Linked DNA regions of Stegostoma tigrinum. The protein of the gene in region 2 purifies or fractionates together with the protein of the main gene of each other region. This does not show direct contact. Links are inferred from orthologs where the notes say so. Each region holds a gene or a part of one and is shown on either strand. Other genes may lie near its edges.

What was found.
Region 1: the proteins of themis (region 2) and ptpn11a purify together in Homo sapiens (co-immunoprecipitation; 3 studies listed by BioGRID and IntAct, counting the BioPlex papers as one, with this or other methods). This does not show direct contact. The link is inferred for Stegostoma tigrinum from reciprocal best matches to the Homo sapiens genes THEMIS and PTPN11.

Annotation. Positions count from the first base shown.
Region 1 is NC_081379.1:13,631,641-13,640,151, reverse strand, and holds the start of ptpn11a (tyrosine-protein phosphatase non-receptor type 11), read right to left. Parts: upstream 3,476-8,511; 5' UTR 3,175-3,475; coding exon 3,161-3,174; intron 1-3,160. UniProt on the Homo sapiens protein: Acts downstream of various receptor and cytoplasmic protein tyrosine kinases to participate in the signal transduction from the cell surface to the nucleus. Positively regulates MAPK signal transduction pathway. Dephosphorylates GAB1, ARHGAP35 and EGFR.
Region 2 is NC_081357.1:68,577,034-68,585,625, forward strand, and holds the start of themis (protein THEMIS), read right to left. Parts: upstream 3,293-8,592; 5' UTR 2,953-3,292; coding exon 2,862-2,952; intron 1-2,861.

The DNA of each region.
Region 1 (8,511 bases), on a different chromosome or scaffold from region 2:
GGAAATGCCAAAGTTATGTCCAGGCCATCAACACCATCCTTCACCCTGGCAACCAGAACTAGGAATAGGAATAGGCAATTCAGCCCTTCGAGCCTGCTCCACCATTTAATATCATCACAGCTGATCTCATTTTAGTTAAGTCCACTTCCTTGTCTGCTCTCCAAATCCCTTCAACAAATAATCAATTAAAAACCTGTTAGCTCCTCAAATTTACTCAATGTCCCAGCATGCACAATACATCGATTCACAACTCAAAAGTAATTTGTCGTCTGTTTTAAGTTTGTCACTCCTTATCCTAAAACTGTGACTTCTCATTATAAATTGCCCACGAGAGAAAAGATCCTCTACATCCACTTTGGCAATCCCCTTTAGCATCTATTATACCTTAATAAGGTTTCCTCTCACTCTCTAAAAATCCAGAAAGCACAGGTCTAACCCGGTCAATCTCTCTTTCATGTGACAAACCCCTCATCTCTAGGATCAATCGAGTGAACCTCCTCGGAACTGTCTCCAATGCAACTCGATCCCTCCTCAAGTAAGGCCAAAACTGCGCATAGTACTTGTAAACCAAAATGTTTGCAACCATGGTGTTACATTTGACTCCAAGATGTGCTTCCGACCATACAACCACATCACTAATATCACTCATTTGCATTCCAAGACATCACCTAGTTCTGCTGCTGCCTCAGTTCATCTGCTGCAGAATCTCTCAATGATACCTTTATTACTATAAAAGGTATTTCAACAGATCATTAGCTGGCTTCTTACATTCTGTAAACTCAAGGAATCCTAAACTCGATGGCTGATGTCCTAACTTGCACCAAATCCAGTTCAATCATCACCTTCCCACTAACTGAAACACATTGGCCCCTGTAAAATTTTAATTATTTTCAAATCCCTTCATGGTCTTGCCTCTGATTCATAAATTAGAAGATCTGTAATCTTCCCCAGCACTACAACCTTCTGACTAATTGTAATCTTCAGATTCCAGTTTCTTGAGCATTCCTGATTTTAAATCAAGCCACCACTGATGATCAAAATTTCAGTAGCCAAAGACCCCATTTCACTATATTTCGGCTTCCTTATGATCTCTTTGACAAAGATTTTGGTCACCTACCCCAATATCTCTTATACTGCATGGTGTCAAATTTATGTGAACAGCATGGGACATTTTACTACATTCAAAAGCACTTTACAAACATCAGTAGTTGTTGTTTCTACACAGTTGTATAGCAACTCTTCCTGCTCAGTGCTGTCATTATCTCTGTACCATCACAAAAGCATTACCTGTTAGATGTTCTCACCCTCTTTGGCCAATCTGCTATGTGCCGGTCCTTTTGCAGTAACATGTGAATGTGACCCTCGTTCACTCATGTTTTTCTGCATACAACATGCAGTGTCATTTCCTTTCATTCTGATCCTTTTCTCTGTCTAGCAATGCTCCATATCAGTAAATGTGGGTGGGTCTGCTATGTACCATGTTTGGAAAAATGTGCAATTGAAAAAGGCTGAATCAACCCCACACTTCCACATGAATTGTACTATTAAACCTTGACATAACTGAAGTTCCTGTGGCAGTTCAATGCAACCACAGTCAGTATTTCCAAGAAGTAAAAGTACTGACATTTTACCCTGACACCCTAAACAAGGAAGCAAGATCCAACAGTTGAAGGGAATACAATTTTACTCAGAAGGCTACACTCTGAAAGTAACACCCCATGGCCTAAAGTTATTTTTTGTAGACAGCACAATTATCGTCAACTTTAGTTAATCCAAGATAATTCTGCCTATTTAAATCTTCATCTAGGCAGGGTTTCAAGAAATTCAGATGACGTGGAACAAATGGCTTTCAGTTGGAGGCAACAACACGTCTTTTGACCAAATGAGACACGGGTTGCAAGAAAGCTTATGAAAGCTGTGGGGATCACTAACATCTTGATAATTTTGTAGTTTTGCCTTCTGGTCCTAGATTAAAGCATATACTCCATTTTACCAGTTATGTCTAGCTATCACTAAGGCCTTGACCATACCTCATCTCAGATCTCTTTTTCCTCTGACAATGACTTTAGATATTTAATTCGCACTTTAATGTTTAAACTAGAACTATTCTTGTTCCTCTTCATTGCAATCCATGAAGGTCCTTTGCCAAACACCTTCACATAATGATCCAATCAGTGCTCTATAAAAAAGGCAGCATTTCAGTTTTCAGAAAAAAAACAGATAAAATGAACTGTCCCTCCTTGACAGAGTTCAGAGTAATTAGGAAAAATAATTTAACTTCAATTTCACATTTTTAGATTTCACATTTAAAAATCATTGCCTTTTCTTACCTTAGCCCTGAAGTTTGCATATTAGTTTTAATATTTAATTTAAATTTTTAATATTTAATTTTAATTTCTTTGCATCAGGCACAGTTTTAGAATAATCTGACCAAATTAAATTTGTTTCATAAATCCAAATCCCTCAACGTGATGAATCTTGCCTTACAAAATAGCTTTGAGAGAGGCTGCTCAGTACCTTATTCCACAATCCTTAGTGAATATCTTTGGAATTAAACAAAAAAAAAACAGTATTTTCACACAAGCTCTGATCCCTCCCATTCGCATCTCCTGTTATCAACACAACACTGGGCTCTTTTCTGCCCTTGTGGGCAAGTGCATATATACACCTTAAGGCATCGTACAGACGAAAAGCTTCCAAATCAGCATTACGAGTGTTCTACTTGTTGGGATATAGTCACCTATCCTTAGTTTTACTGTTATGTTTGCACATTCATCCGCGATTGGTGAATATGCAAAATCAATACAATCGTCAACACAGCACACCAGTCTTTGACCAACGACTTTTAAGTACAGGTAGCTGTCGCAGAGGTCAGTGAGGGATTGACAGCAATGTTTGAGCCTAGCTGTATACTCCAAGCGCCGTATTTTTGTTCAGTGACTGGCTACAGCCCATTTGTGAAACTTCCCCTCTGCTCCCTCAGGCTTCCTTAAGTTCAGGCCAGGTTATCATTGAATGTCAGCACTCCCCAGCGAGTTCCATATTTCACAGATTCCCCCTGTTGTGGCATAGCCACAGTCTCCGCCCAATACCCGCAGTATTCCCACCCGCCTCCCCTCACCAATACACCCATTCTTCCCTCATACACCCGCTCACCCACCTTCGGGATGTCATGGTGATGGACGGAGGGCACTCCCTCTCACACTGGCCTGCCGGTTCTTTTCTGCCTCCGCCGGTGATGGGTGCGAGAGTTGGTAGGCACTCTGCCTCTGCGGCAGCTCCTATGGGGCAAGAGGACCTAACTCGATCTCAGGCACTTCCCGCCCAGCGTCTGTGTCTCTGTGTGTGTGTGTCTCTCCCTACCCAGCTGAGGAACTAACTAGAAACGCAGCGACTGCGTCGCGGGGGGAAAAAAGTCATCTCCACCTACCCCCTCCCGGCCTACGGCGCTGGAAATCTACGTCTCCAACACACCGACCCGCGCACGGATATGACGCAGCGGCGTCCCCTTTCCCTGCAAGGCTGAGAGTAGACATCGAAAGAATAATGAATTATCACGCTAGGGCAGAGAATGTCGAGTTAACACCCCGAAACTCTCCGGCGCGCATGTGTAAAATTTGCATTTCTTGTTCCCAAACCCACACGAAGACCCGGTGACGTCACTCCACCAGACCAGTTCACTGAGCCGATTTGGGGGCCGCCATGTTTATTATTGGCAGGACGTGTCATAAAGTGCGCGCGCGCAGAGTTTTTCGCATGCGTATTGTGAACCTCTGGAAGTGGGGGTGTGTTATGAGGCATTGCAACCCGGAGAGGCTTTGTCACTTCAGAAACCAAGACTGTTCAGCCCACGTTTGATTGAGAATAATTCAGGTCGTTACTGGTTTGAATTTATTCATTCATTAATCGGGGTTAATTGATCTAAAGTAAAAGGATTAGGGCGGTATGTGGGGAGAAATGTTTCACGGTAGGTGGAGGCATGGTCTAGAATGTTCCACCCATTCTGGTGGTCGAGGCCGAAACCTCCGATAATGTAATGCCCCCCCAAAAAGCAAAAGCTGGAGAAAGTTAGTGGCTCTGGCAGCATCTGAGGAGTAAGAGGAAAACAGTTATCGCTTCTAGCCTGGTGAGCCTTCATCAGAATTAGTTTCGAAGAACGTTGCTGTCTATTTCTGAAGAAGGTTCACTGAACAGTAGCGCTGCTTCTCTCTCAGCAGATAATGTTAGAGGTGCTGAATTTAACTACTTCGGGTTCTTGTTTCAGAAACCTTCAAACTATCTGGACGGTTTTTCTTTGAATGTGCTGGAAGATGGGATAGTTTTCTCTCAACTGCCGTGAACGTGACGGGCTGAATGGCCGCTTTCTATGCTACAACTTTTCCGTGGTTCCATAAAGACGGTTTTGTGACACTTGTTACAATTTTGTCACAACAAAGTTAGCAAATTGAATTTTCTTTTTCAAACATTGGAAGCTGAATCAATTTGGTCATGAAAAGGAAAATAGAAAAAAAGTTTAAAAGTATGAGAACCTAATTCAGACAGAATTGTGGCAAAGGAGTGCATTGTAGGTCAGATCTTGATCTAATAGAGCAGTGAGGTTCTGGGTCTACTTTATTATTTGGTTCAGGGCTTGGGTAAGTATAACAGCATAAATGAAGCAGGGCAAAACAGCAAACAAAGGAACAAATTCAGCTGGGTCTGGTACCATTTGTGGTGAGAAAACAGGTTCACAACTAATTGTAGCTGGGAAAAGCTGGCATATATGTGGGAGATGGGAGAGGGGAAGGAGGTGGAGATGAGGCCCAGAGAAAGAACAGCTTTTGGATAATTAAACAAATGGATAATGGTCAGCATTGGAAATAGCTACTAAAGCCAAAAATGGATTGGCTGTGATGAAAGCAGCCAAAGTGATGACAAGGTGGGGCTGGTTGTGTGAGGGATGTAAAAGACATGGAAGAAGGTGCTCGGGCCTTATGATTAGTGAACTCTGTATTGAGTTCTGAAGCCTGCAGGTTCCCCAAGCAGAAAATGAAATGCAGTTCTTCCAGCTGGAGCACTGCAGCACCCCTGGGAGAAATGTTAGCCAGAGCACACAGTTGTGCCTTGAAGCTCAGGGTCATTTTGGTTTTCTTTGGACAGAACACAGGTGACTATCCACTCATTCCTTTGTCTGCCAACTACTGTTCTGTTCTGGGTGCATCTCTACCTGCTGTTTATTCCCCAGCCCCTGTTTTCAGCGTGATGTAATCCCATTTTCCCTGTGACAGTCAGTCCTGAAGATGAGTCATTGGGCCTGAAAAGTTGACTTTTTTGTGCACAGATGTTGCCAGACCTGTGGACCTTCTCCAGTAATTTGTTTTGATTTGTTTCAGATTTCCAGCATCTATAATTTTATTTTAGTGAGGTAAGGGAGTTGGGTAGCATTGAGTCAGTCTTTTGATTCCCACAAGGTCAAAATGATGATACTTTAGACTATAGACTTGATGGAACTCCATTTTATTTCTTGCATCTCCATGTACCTAACACAATAGCAGTCCATTGGTCACATGACTAAGTTATGGGGAGGTGATGGCCTAGTGATGTTATTGCTACACTGTTAATTCAGAGACCCAGATAACCTTCTGGGGACCTGGGTTTGAATCCTGCCATAGATGGTGGAATTTGAATTCAATAAATATCTGGAATTGAGTCTAATGATGACTGTGGATCCATTGTCGATTTGCTGGAAAAACCCCATCTGGTCCACTGATTTCCTTTAGGGAAGGAAACTGCCGCCCTTAGCTGGTCTGGCCTACATGTGATTCCAGACCTACAGCAATGTGGTTGACTCTTAACTGCCTTCTGGGCAATTAGGGATGGACAATAAATGCTGCCTAGCCAGCAACGCCCTCATCCCTCCGATGAATTTTTAACAAAGTTAGAACAGTGAGGTCCCCTTGCACATTCAGCAATTAGTTCCTATTACTTTCTCCAACAGAAACAATGTCCTATTAATTAAAAGAAAAATGGTCTGCCTTTATATTAGTGTAACAGTTCCAGTTATCTGTTTTCCTAAAGATCAATGTTAATCATATTTTAAAAATGAACACTTTACAGTTTATTAACTTGTTCTCTTCCTTTAAGCACAAGTATTTTTTGGCTGTAAAATGTTGTCTCTGAGCTAAACAGCACACTGCAGTTGCTCTTTAAATACTTCAAGTTCTGCTTTATTGTTCTGCAGTGCAAGTTTTTCGTGCAGCCACTCTTGTGCCTTTCTTCCAGCTTTTCAACTTCCTGCTTTACCCATTCTTCTTGGAATTGATCCAGTTTCTGTTTCTGTAGTTCCAGAGAATTGTTCCCCAACTGGACATAGGGAACTCCAGATGCAGTTTAACACTAAATTAGTGTCAGCTTTTTGAGTTCTTATCCTTTGATGTGAATGCTGATAGAGTTTTGAAGTGAGATTCATGTTTACCTTCTCTCTGACCAGTATACTTTGCAATTTCTATTATGTGTACTTTTTATCAAGTCATGATATGCCCTGCTTAGTCTTCACTTTTCGGGTATGTCACTTTTTTGTCTTAAATTTTCATTTCTGATGTGCTGTAAGTTTCTGGTAATCTACCTGAGTTTTAAATAGGCTCACTGCTGCCCCCCCCCCCCCCCCCCCCCCCCCCCCCCCCCCCAGTTCAGAGCTCCATCTTTTGTATTGGCCATGAGAGTTTCAAATACCACGTGGCCACTTATCCATGTGCGCTCAAGTGATACTTTGTGTTTTTATGGGTTTTGTTTTTTTCCCAGTCTGGGGGTATCCTCACGTAACTCTTTCTCTAGTACTTTGACTGTATCAGTGCCTGCTGTCACCCAGAACTGGAAAAGTTAATCCATTTTGCTTTCAATTTCTAGTCTTTCAAGTTCACCTGGCCCATCTCTGACTCTTTCCTTTAATCCTTAATTTTTCTGTCTTTGCCCCCTCTTGCAGGGATAGACTGTCTACTAATATTAGTTACAAATCCACCAACTCCCACAGCTACCTCGGCTACATTTGCTCTCACTATTTTGAAGGGACCGTTACCTTTGACATTCTGGCATCCCTTTATTGCCCCAACTCTTCATCTCCCTCCCGAAGCACTTTTTTATAAATGGCAGGAAATGCAATACATTGTTTTATCACCACTCTCCTACTGTCCAAAGCCCTTAATATTTCTTTCAGGAGATGTAAATCTACTTGTGCTTTCTTTTTTCAATCTAGTCTACTGGCTTCAATGCTTATAATGTAGCCTCCACTTCGCTGGGGACACCACTTTGCAGAACGCACCTCGGTTTGCAAGCATGACACCAACCTTCTGTCACTTGACACAAGTACACCATTTAGCTCTTAGAATTTCTTTTGCCCTAGGTCAACTGTAGTGTCTGAGTGAAACCCATTGCAAGCTGGAGCATTTTCCATTTAGGCCTAAAGAAGTCACTGGACTCAACGTTAACACCATTTTCAGATGCTGAGTTTCTCCAGCTATTTGTTTGTTTTAGACCTCCAGCATCTGAAGGCCTTTGTATTATTCGACTTAGGCCTTTTAGATTTGATGTTGCATTGAATAATTTCAGACCGTGAACTCTCTCCTCCATTTTGTTTCCTGCCCTCTCTCCATTGTTTTTAGGTTTTGCATGCCGCAGTGCTGACCTCTTAATTATGCTCTTAACAGCTACTGTTAAACATCTAATCTGCACCTAGCTGTCTCTACAACGTGAACTCTCCCTTTGCCTATTGTTGTGACATTTGAGTTTATTACTCTGTCTCTCTAACATTCCCTTAAATTCCACCTGCTTCCCCTCCTCTTGGTTAGTACTTGGAACAATTACATTATTGCAATTTAGAGATTGGGCTGAAAAAGAGATAGCTGAATGTTCCCATGTTTCGTAAGTGATGGAGGTAAATGGTGGGGAAGTATTCCTGGCAAAGGAGTATCTGTTGTACTGGGAGAAGATGCATCAGAGGAGTTGTGCAGCAAGGCAATGTGGGGAGAACCCAGGAATAGGAAAGGTGAAATAGCAGTGCTGGGGATATACTACAGGTCACTGACCAGCCAGTGGGAGATAGAGAAGAGAATGTGGACAGATTTTGGAAAGATGTAAAAACAGCAAGGTTGTTGTGGTGGGTGACTTTTTTGTTTTCTTTTTAACTTCCCCTGTATTGACTAGGACTCCCCATGTGCTAGGGACTTGGATGGGGAAGAATTTTGTAAGGACCGTTCGGGAGAATTCGTGGCACAATACGTAAGCAGTTCAACCAGGCAAGGGGTTATACTGGACCAGGTTTTGGGACCTGAGCCGCATCAGGTGAGTGAAGTTTCAATGGGGGAGCATATCAGTAGTGGTGACCATTGCACAGTGAGTTTGAAGATAATCATGGATAGGGATAACAGCAGTCCTTGGGTGAAGGTGTTTATTTGGGGTAAGGCGAACTGTGACAATGAGGCAGCTATTTGAGAGTAAATCTACATTGGACATGTGGGACTATTTCAAACTGCGTTA
Region 2 (8,592 bases):
GATAAACCTCCAGGACCTAATCAAGTGTATCACAGGACATTGTGGAAAGTTAGGGAGGAAATTGCAGGGCCTCTAGCAGAAATATTTATATCATTTACAAACACAGGTGAAGGAGCAGAGGACTAGAGGGTGGCTAACTTTGTGTCTTTATTTAAGAAAGGCTGTAAGGAAAAACCTGGAAAGTACAGACCTAGTCTGACATCAGTGGTGGTTACGTTATTGGAGGTGATTGTGAAAGGTAGGATTAACATGCATTTGGGGAGGCAAGGATTGATTAGAGATAGTCAACATGGCTTTGTGCAAGGAAAATACTATCGTACTTGATCAAATTTTTGAATGAAGTCACCAAAAAGGCTTATGAGAGTACAGTGATAGGCTTTGTTTACTCAGACTTTAGTAAAGCTTTTGTCACAGTTCCACATGGTAAACTAATCTGTAAAGTTGGATCACATTGGATTCAGTGTGATCTTATAGAATTCTTTTTTATTCTTGACTAGAGCTTCAATATCTTTATTCATCCGTTGTTCCCTAATTGGATATGAATTTGGCTTTAAGGTAGGAGACAGAGGATGGTGGTGGAGAGCCGTTTTTCAGATTGCAGGTCTGTGACCAGTGGTATTCCTCAGGGTCCGGTGCTGGGACAACTTTTGTTTGTCAGTTATATAAGTGATTTGGATGAGAATACAGGAGACATGGTGAGTAAGTTTGCAGAAGATACCGAAATTGGCGGTGTAGTGGACAGTGAAGAAGATTATAAAGAGATTTTGACCAAGTGATTCAATGAGATAAGGAAAAGCAGATCGAGTTGGGTAAATATCAGGTATTGCATTTTGGTAATACAAACAAGAACAGCATTTTGACAATTAATGGTAGGGCCCTAGGTAGTATTGTAGAGCAGAGAGACCTAAGGGTTCAGAAACAATATTCTTTGAAATTTGCATCACAGTTAGATTAAGGTGGTTAAGCAAACAGTTAGCATGCTTGCTTTCATTGCTCAGACCTTTTGGGTATTGCAGAAGGGACGTCATGTGGCGGTTGTGCAAGACGTTTGTGAAGATGCTTCTGTAGTGCTGTGCACGGTTCTGGTCACCCCTGTACAGGAAAAATATTATTAAACTAGAAACCATTCAGAAAATGTTTACCAGGACGTTGCCAGGAATGGAGGGTTTGAGTTATAAAAATAGGCTGGAAAGACTGGTGCTTTTTTCACTGGAGCGTAGGAGGTTGAGGGGTGATCTTATACAGGTTTATAAAATCATGTGGGGTATAGACTGGCAAGGGTCTTTTCCCCAGGGTGGGGGATTTTAAAACTAGGGAGCATATTTTTAAGGTGAGAGGAGAAACTTTTAAAAAGGAGAGTCGTGTGTGTGTGGTATGAACTGCCAGAGAAAGTGATGGATGCAAGTACAGTTAGAACATATAAAGGACATTTGGATAAGTTCATGGATAGGAAAGGTTTGGAGGGATATGGACCAAGCTCAGGCAGGTCGGGCTAGATTAGTTTGGGAACAAGGTTGGACCAAAGGGTCTATTTCCTTGCTGTATGATTCTATAAGAATATAAAATAGGTGGTATATTCCAAAGGAGGGTGCAGGAGCAGAGGCACTTGGATCTCTTTGTGCATAGGTCTTTGAAGGTAGCAGGACTAGTGAAGACCAGCAGTAAATAAAGCATACCTCACCTTAAGTACTGTGTACTGTTGTGAGCACCATATTATTGGAAAGATGCAAACACTTTGGATAGAGTGCAGAAATGATTTACAAGAAAGGTTTCAGGAGAAACTTCAGTTACAGGGACAGATCAAAAAGTTGGGACAGTTCTCCTTGGAAAGAAAGCTGCTTGAAAATGTGGTAGACACAGTTTCAATTGAGACATCCATGAAAACGTTAGATGTATGTATAGAAACAGTGCGCAAGACAATGGGGAGAAAGCAGGAGATTGGAATTAGATAATAATAGTCGTTTAAAGAGACTTTTCTGAACTGTAACACTTCTGTGAAGGTATGAAATAAACTACTAATTTTGTTATACATTGAAGCAATCCTTCATACGTATAGAAACATCTCTCAGGACAGGGATTCATATATAATTTCGTCTAACTGAAATGAAATGTCATATTCGTGAAATGGATTGTTTTTTTTAAACCGAGAACGATTTCCAGAATTAACTGAGCGCTCAACAATGGCGTTGTTTAAACCGGTACTGATTGCATTGCATACAAACTCCCAGTGAACGTGGTTTCCAATAACTTTACAATCACCCTCTTCCAAATATTGACCGAAATTACTAGATTTACTTTATTAAAATAATAAATATTCAAACAAAAGATAATGGTAGCCTTCTTTCCTATTTTTTCAGCAAATCAAATCTCAAATAAACTCCTGAGTCAAACTTCACTGCATTTTAAGCACTTATGTTCGCCTTTCAGAGGAAAGCTTATTTTAGTTTGAAAAACGTGAAAAACTTAATTTTGCATTAAGCAATGCATTTGAACGATGCAAAAAGTCAAATGCATCTTCCAGAAAGCGTAACCCGTCTAACGTGCTTACATATTGTTGAGTATTGTAACATTTTACTCAAACTGAGGGTATCACTGGCTAACTATTTGATAGAGAAATAGATCGATAAAAAAGTATCAGGATTCAGCCGACACGTGGTTTTGAGATAACTGAAGGTGCTGCAAAATATCTGAAAACTCTGCAAAGTTCCAGCGTCGTGAGGTTTGTTGCATCGAAAAGTCTCACGCTTTATTCAGTCAAATAAACGCCAGAAATGATGCATTAGGCAAAAAGGTTTATAAAAATAAAGTTTTACAAGCTCAAATTAACCGGAAAATCGCACCGTCTAAAATCCAATCTTTACCTTGAAAGTAAATCCCAGACTGGATCTGTAGTATTCTCGGAAGAGTCAAGGGATCGAGCGAGTCGATGAAACTCTCGAGAGTTTGCGCCATTGCATTGAAATTTCCTCACTAAACTGCAGAGCATCAGCGTCGAAGACTGCAGTCCATGTTTCAAGGTGCTCCTAGTCAGTCAGTTTCCCTGCCCACTAGAATACGGGTAAATATCACTAAATGTGAGCTAAATATCACTGCCCACTATAGACAGGTCAGTCCTCTCTGTCCAGTTTAAGACATGAATCTCCCTATCTAGTGGAAGCAGGTCAGTGTTCCCAGATAGCGCAAGGTTAGACTGCAGTTCCTTGTGCCATCCTACTCTCACTCACGGTCTGAGAATAGTTTCGCAAAATGTTCCACCATCAGAGATTGCTTTCCAAATCTCAACGAATGAATCAGTTCATCACCACGACAGCCGAATGTGCAAAATGCAGAACAATAGTAGGCGGCAACCCCGGAAACACAATAGGCAAACTCGCATATTGTCAACGTTTGCAGCCTTCCTCAAAAGGTTGTTTTTATTTCACACTGAAAGAGATAGGTATCCCAGTGTGGCCGTAACATTTATGTTCACATTCAGACTTGTTCAGCTTTTATGCTACTTGTTGATTCTAATGAGTGGTTGATGATTTCCAGATATTAAAGACTGATTTTTTCCTAAAATAAAATCAGAAATGACAGGAATCTTAATTTAAAATGTAATCGGGAAACTTAGAAAAGAGGGTGCTGACATCTCCCACTATATATCAAATCACTTCGGACCAAGACGTTGGGTGCGCAGACTTCAAAATAATAACTGGGACTAAGATATGTTTAATGAAAATTCAGGAGGAGTTTGACACTTTGAATTGCGAGTGAGGTGGGCGCTGTGGTTTCATGTTTGTGCAAACACAGATCCCACACTCTACAGCGCCACGCAATTTCATCCATCAATGCTTCCACAAACGGTCTCCTTCCTGCCAGAGCCTGCGGATTAGACAAAGCAGTGATAACGGGAATTGCAGATGCTGGAGAATCCAAGATAACAAAGTGTGGAGCTGGATGAACACAGCAGGCCAAGCAGCATCTCAGGAGCACAAAAGCTGACGTTTCGGGTCTAGACCCTTCATCAGAAAAGGGGGAATGGGGTGACGATTCTGAAATAAATAGGGAGAGAGGGGGAGGCGGATCGAAGATGGAGAGAAAAGAAGATAGGTAGAGAGGAGAGTATAGGTGGGGAGGTAGGGAGGGGATAGGTCAGTCCAGAGGAGACGGACAGTTCAAGGAGGCGGGATGAGGTGGTAGGTAGGAAATGGAAGTGCGGCTTGAGGTGGGAGGATGGGATGGGTGAGAGGAAGAACAGGTTAGGGAGGCAGAGACAGGCTGGGCTAGTTTTGGGATGCAGTGGGGGGAGGGGAGGGGAGATTTTGAAGCTGGTGAAGTCCACATTCATACCACTGGGCTGCAGGGTTCCCAAGTGGAATATGAGTTGCTGTTCCTGCAACCTTCGGGTGGCATCATTGTGGCACTACAGGAGGCCCATGATGGACATGTTGTCTGAGGAATGGGAAGGGAAGTTGAAATGGTTCGCGACTGGGAGGTGCAGTTGTTTGGTGCGAACTGAGCGGAGGTGTTCTGCAAAGCGGTCCCCAAGCCTCTGCTTGGTTTCCCCAATGTAGAGGAAGGCACACCAGGTACAATGGACACAATATTCCACATTGGCAGATGTGCAGGTGAACATCTGCTTGATATGGAAGGTCATCTTGGGGTCTGGGATAGGGGTGAGGGAGTAGGTGTGGGGGGGCAAGTGTAGCACTTCCTGTGGTTGCAGGGGAAGGTGCCGGGTGTGGTGGGGTTGGAGAGAGTGGTCTCTCCGGAAGGCAGACAAGGGTGGGGATGGAAAAATAGCTTGGGTGGTGGGGTCGGATTGTAGATGGTGCAAGTGTCGGAGGATGATGCGTTGTATCCGGAGGTTGGTGGGGTGCTATGTGAGAACGAGGGGAGTCTCTGGGAGCGGTTGTGGCGGGGGCGGGGTGCGAGGGATATGTTGCGGGAAATGCAGGAGATGCGGTCAAGGGCGTTCTCGACCACTGCGAGGGTGAAGTTGCGGCCCTTGAAGAACGTGGACTTCTGGGATGTGCGGGAGTGGAATGCTTCATCCTGGGAGCAGATGCGGTGGAGGCGAAGGAATTGGGAATAGGGCATGGAATTTATGCAGGAGGATGGGTGGGAGGAGGTGCATTCTAGGTAACTGTGGGAGTCAGTGGGCTTGAAATGGACATCAGTTACAAGCTGGTTGCCTCAGATGGAGACTGAAGGGTCCAGGAAGGTGAGGGATGTGTTGGAGATGGCCCAGGTGAACTTGAGGTTGGGTTGGAAGGTTTTGGTGAAGTGGATGAACTGTTCCAGCTCTTCTGGGGAGCAAGAGGCGCCGCTGATACAGTCATCAATGTAATGGAGGAAGAGGTGGGGTTTGGGGCCTGTGTAGTGTCCTCCAACACTTCTGCCATCTACAATCCGACCCCACCACCCAAGCTATTTTTCCATCCCCACCCTCGTCTGCCTTCCGGAGAGACCACTCTCTCCGCGACTCCCTTGTCCGCTCCACACTCCCCTCCAACCCCACCACACCTGGCACCTTCCCCTGTAACCGCAGGAAGTGCTACACTTGCCCCCACAACTCCTCCCTCACCCCGATCCCAGGCCCCAAGATGACCTTCCATATCAAGCAAATGTTCACCTGCACATCTGCCAGTGGTATATTGTATCCATTGCAACCGGTGTGGCTTCCTCTACATTGGGGAAACCAAGCAGAGGCTTGGGGACCGCTTTGCAGAACACCTCCACTCGGTTCACAACAAACAACTGCACCTCCCAGTCGTGAACCATTTTAACTCCCCCTCCCTTTCTTTAGACGACATGTCCATTATGGGCCTCCTGCAGTGCCATAATGATGCCACCCGAAGGTTGCAAGAACAGCAACTCATATTCCACTTGGGAACCCTGCAGCCCAATGGTATCAATGTGGACTTCACAAGCTTCAAAATCTCCCCCTCCCCCACTGCATCCCAAAACCAGCCCAGCCTGTCTCCACTTCCCTAACCTGTTTTCCTCTCACCCATCCCATCCTCCCACCTCAAGCCGCACCTCCATTTCCTACCTACCACCTCATCCCACCTCCTTGACCTGTTCGTCTCCCCTGGACTGACCTATCCCCTCCCTACCTCCTCACGTATACGCTCCACTGTACCTATCTTCTTTTCTCTCCATCTTCGGTCCGCCTCCCCCTCTCTCCCTATTTATTCCAGTTCCCTCTCCCCATCCCCCTCTCTGATGAAGGGTCTAGGCCCGAAACGTCAGCTTTTGTGCTCCTGAGATGCTGATTAGACAAAGCAAATGCATGGTGCCGGACAGCAGAAGTGTTTTGTTGCCCCTCAGCTAAAAATGCAAATATAACATGCTGAACTGGCATTCATAAAACATCAACTCAGTTATGGGAAAGAGAATAACACAGTGTGGAACTGGACGAACATCAGAGCAGCATCAGAGAAGCAGAGGACAAAAGTCTTTTCTACTCGACACAAATCTTTTCTAATCCTCGGATGCTGCATGGCTTGCTGTGATCCTCCAGCTCCGCACTTTTACCTCTGACTCCAGTCTCTGCAGTTCTTACTATCTCTGAGTTAGTTATGGGAAATGTGTGACTTCTGCATCCAACAGATAGCTATCTGAAAAGGCAGACTGATATCTAACTATGTTATCTCTTCGGAATGCACTACTCTTGCCCATTTGCCTCCCTCCGTTGCCTCACAAAATCTTTAAGGTTCATTCAATTTTCTTGGGATCAACTCAAAATGTACATCATTCCATCTCCTGAATTTATTTCAATTTCTCTGAAGTTCGGGCTAGTCAACAAGGTACAAGGTTTTATGGAGGCCCTTCCATTGAGCATTAGTGAAGCAACTCTCTAACTTAATCTTAATAGATCTAATGACTTTGGATTCCACACCTGACACTGTCTGTTAGCTGCTTCTCTCAGTCAGCCTTACGGACAAACTGAATTCACAGAGACAAATTCAAAGACCAAGGACTTCACTAAACTCGACCCATCTCCATGGCATAACGAAACACACATCATACCCAGGTAAAAATGCAAGTTACTTACTTTTCACTTTCAAGATTTTTCTGAGGAAACCACATAGATAACTTATGTTTACTGTAATAACTGCAAATGTTATGCCTCAAATTATTTTCATCAGTGAGTGCACCTGTTTTATGATTTTATCTTGCTAGCTGTTAATCACTGAATTAACGTGACTCCATTTTAAGCGTTGAACTCCAAGCTTGTTTAAATTGCATTTATTTCAGTATTATTACAAAATATCAGGATTTTTCAATTATTTTACATCTGAACTAAAAATTACATTCTAATGCGCATCAACCATAAACATATTCGACACATATCTGTGTACACTGTGGACCACCACTTGTATTGACTTTAGAAAGGGTAAAGCTCATGCCCTGTGGTACGCAGCATTAGCTTGCAATGTTAACTGTTTGAGAAGAGAAATTGTTGTACATCCCTGAATGTACAATCACTCCGTTGTTAATCTCTCTGTAGGGATTTTGTAGAGATGAACAGACTAGGAAAGAGGTTTTTTTAAAAAATACAATTTAATGAGGATTTGGGAAATTGAGGGGTTGGGAAAAAGCTATCTGGCATGAAAGAAAACAACTTAAAAGTGAGTAAAGAGGATAAAGGGGGGGAATTAAAATATGTTTACTTTTCACAAATGGATGGAGAATGTATTCAGAGATAGTAGGAACTGCTGATGCTGGAGAATCTGAGATAACAAGGTGTGAAGCTGGATGAACACAGCAGGCCAAGCAGCATCACAGGAGCAGGAAAGCTGACGTTTCGGGTGGGGACCCTTCTTCAGAAAATGTATTCTGAATGTATTCAGTTGGTTAAAACAGCAAACAGATATCACTAAATGAAATAATTCTAAATAAATCAACATTTCCATTTTGTGGGCACAGATCCAACGGCACACCTGCAGTGAACAATGACAGACTGACATCACAAACTACCAAATGAAGCAATAACGATGAGTGATAAATGTGGACCATCAAAATGAAACAACTACCAAAACACAAACAGAAAATTCTGGAGAAACTCAGGTTTTGCAGCACCTGTAGAGAGGGAAACAGAGTTGACGCTTGAAGTGCAACATGACTCTTCTTTGGAACTAAAAAGTATTGGCAAATGATTTTTCAATTCCTATGACAAAGGTGGTGGAAGATCTAGGGGGTGGTCCAGAGGCCTCGTACAAGAGACAAAGAATTCTTCAATGATTGTGACAGAGAAAAAGAAACCAAATGGATGTTAAGAAAACTTTTGTGCACACAAGGAAGGTAGCAGTAGGTGATTTTAGGAATTAGATATTATGTAACAAATTGATATGTTTGTCTCAAATCCATTCCTTCAAGTAAACACAAGTGGATTGGCTACCAAATTCCATGGTGTTTGATGTATAGCAATAGAGTTGATGTAGAGATAATTTCTATGAGAAATGATATTCAGATGAAAGTCAGGACAAGGGACAGTAATTTTTGGTGACTTTTAAACAGGAAAAAAAACCCATACCTATCATCTGGTGCTTTGAAAGAAAAGGTTTACATTAACTACACATACAGCTGTTAGCTAGTAGTCTCCTA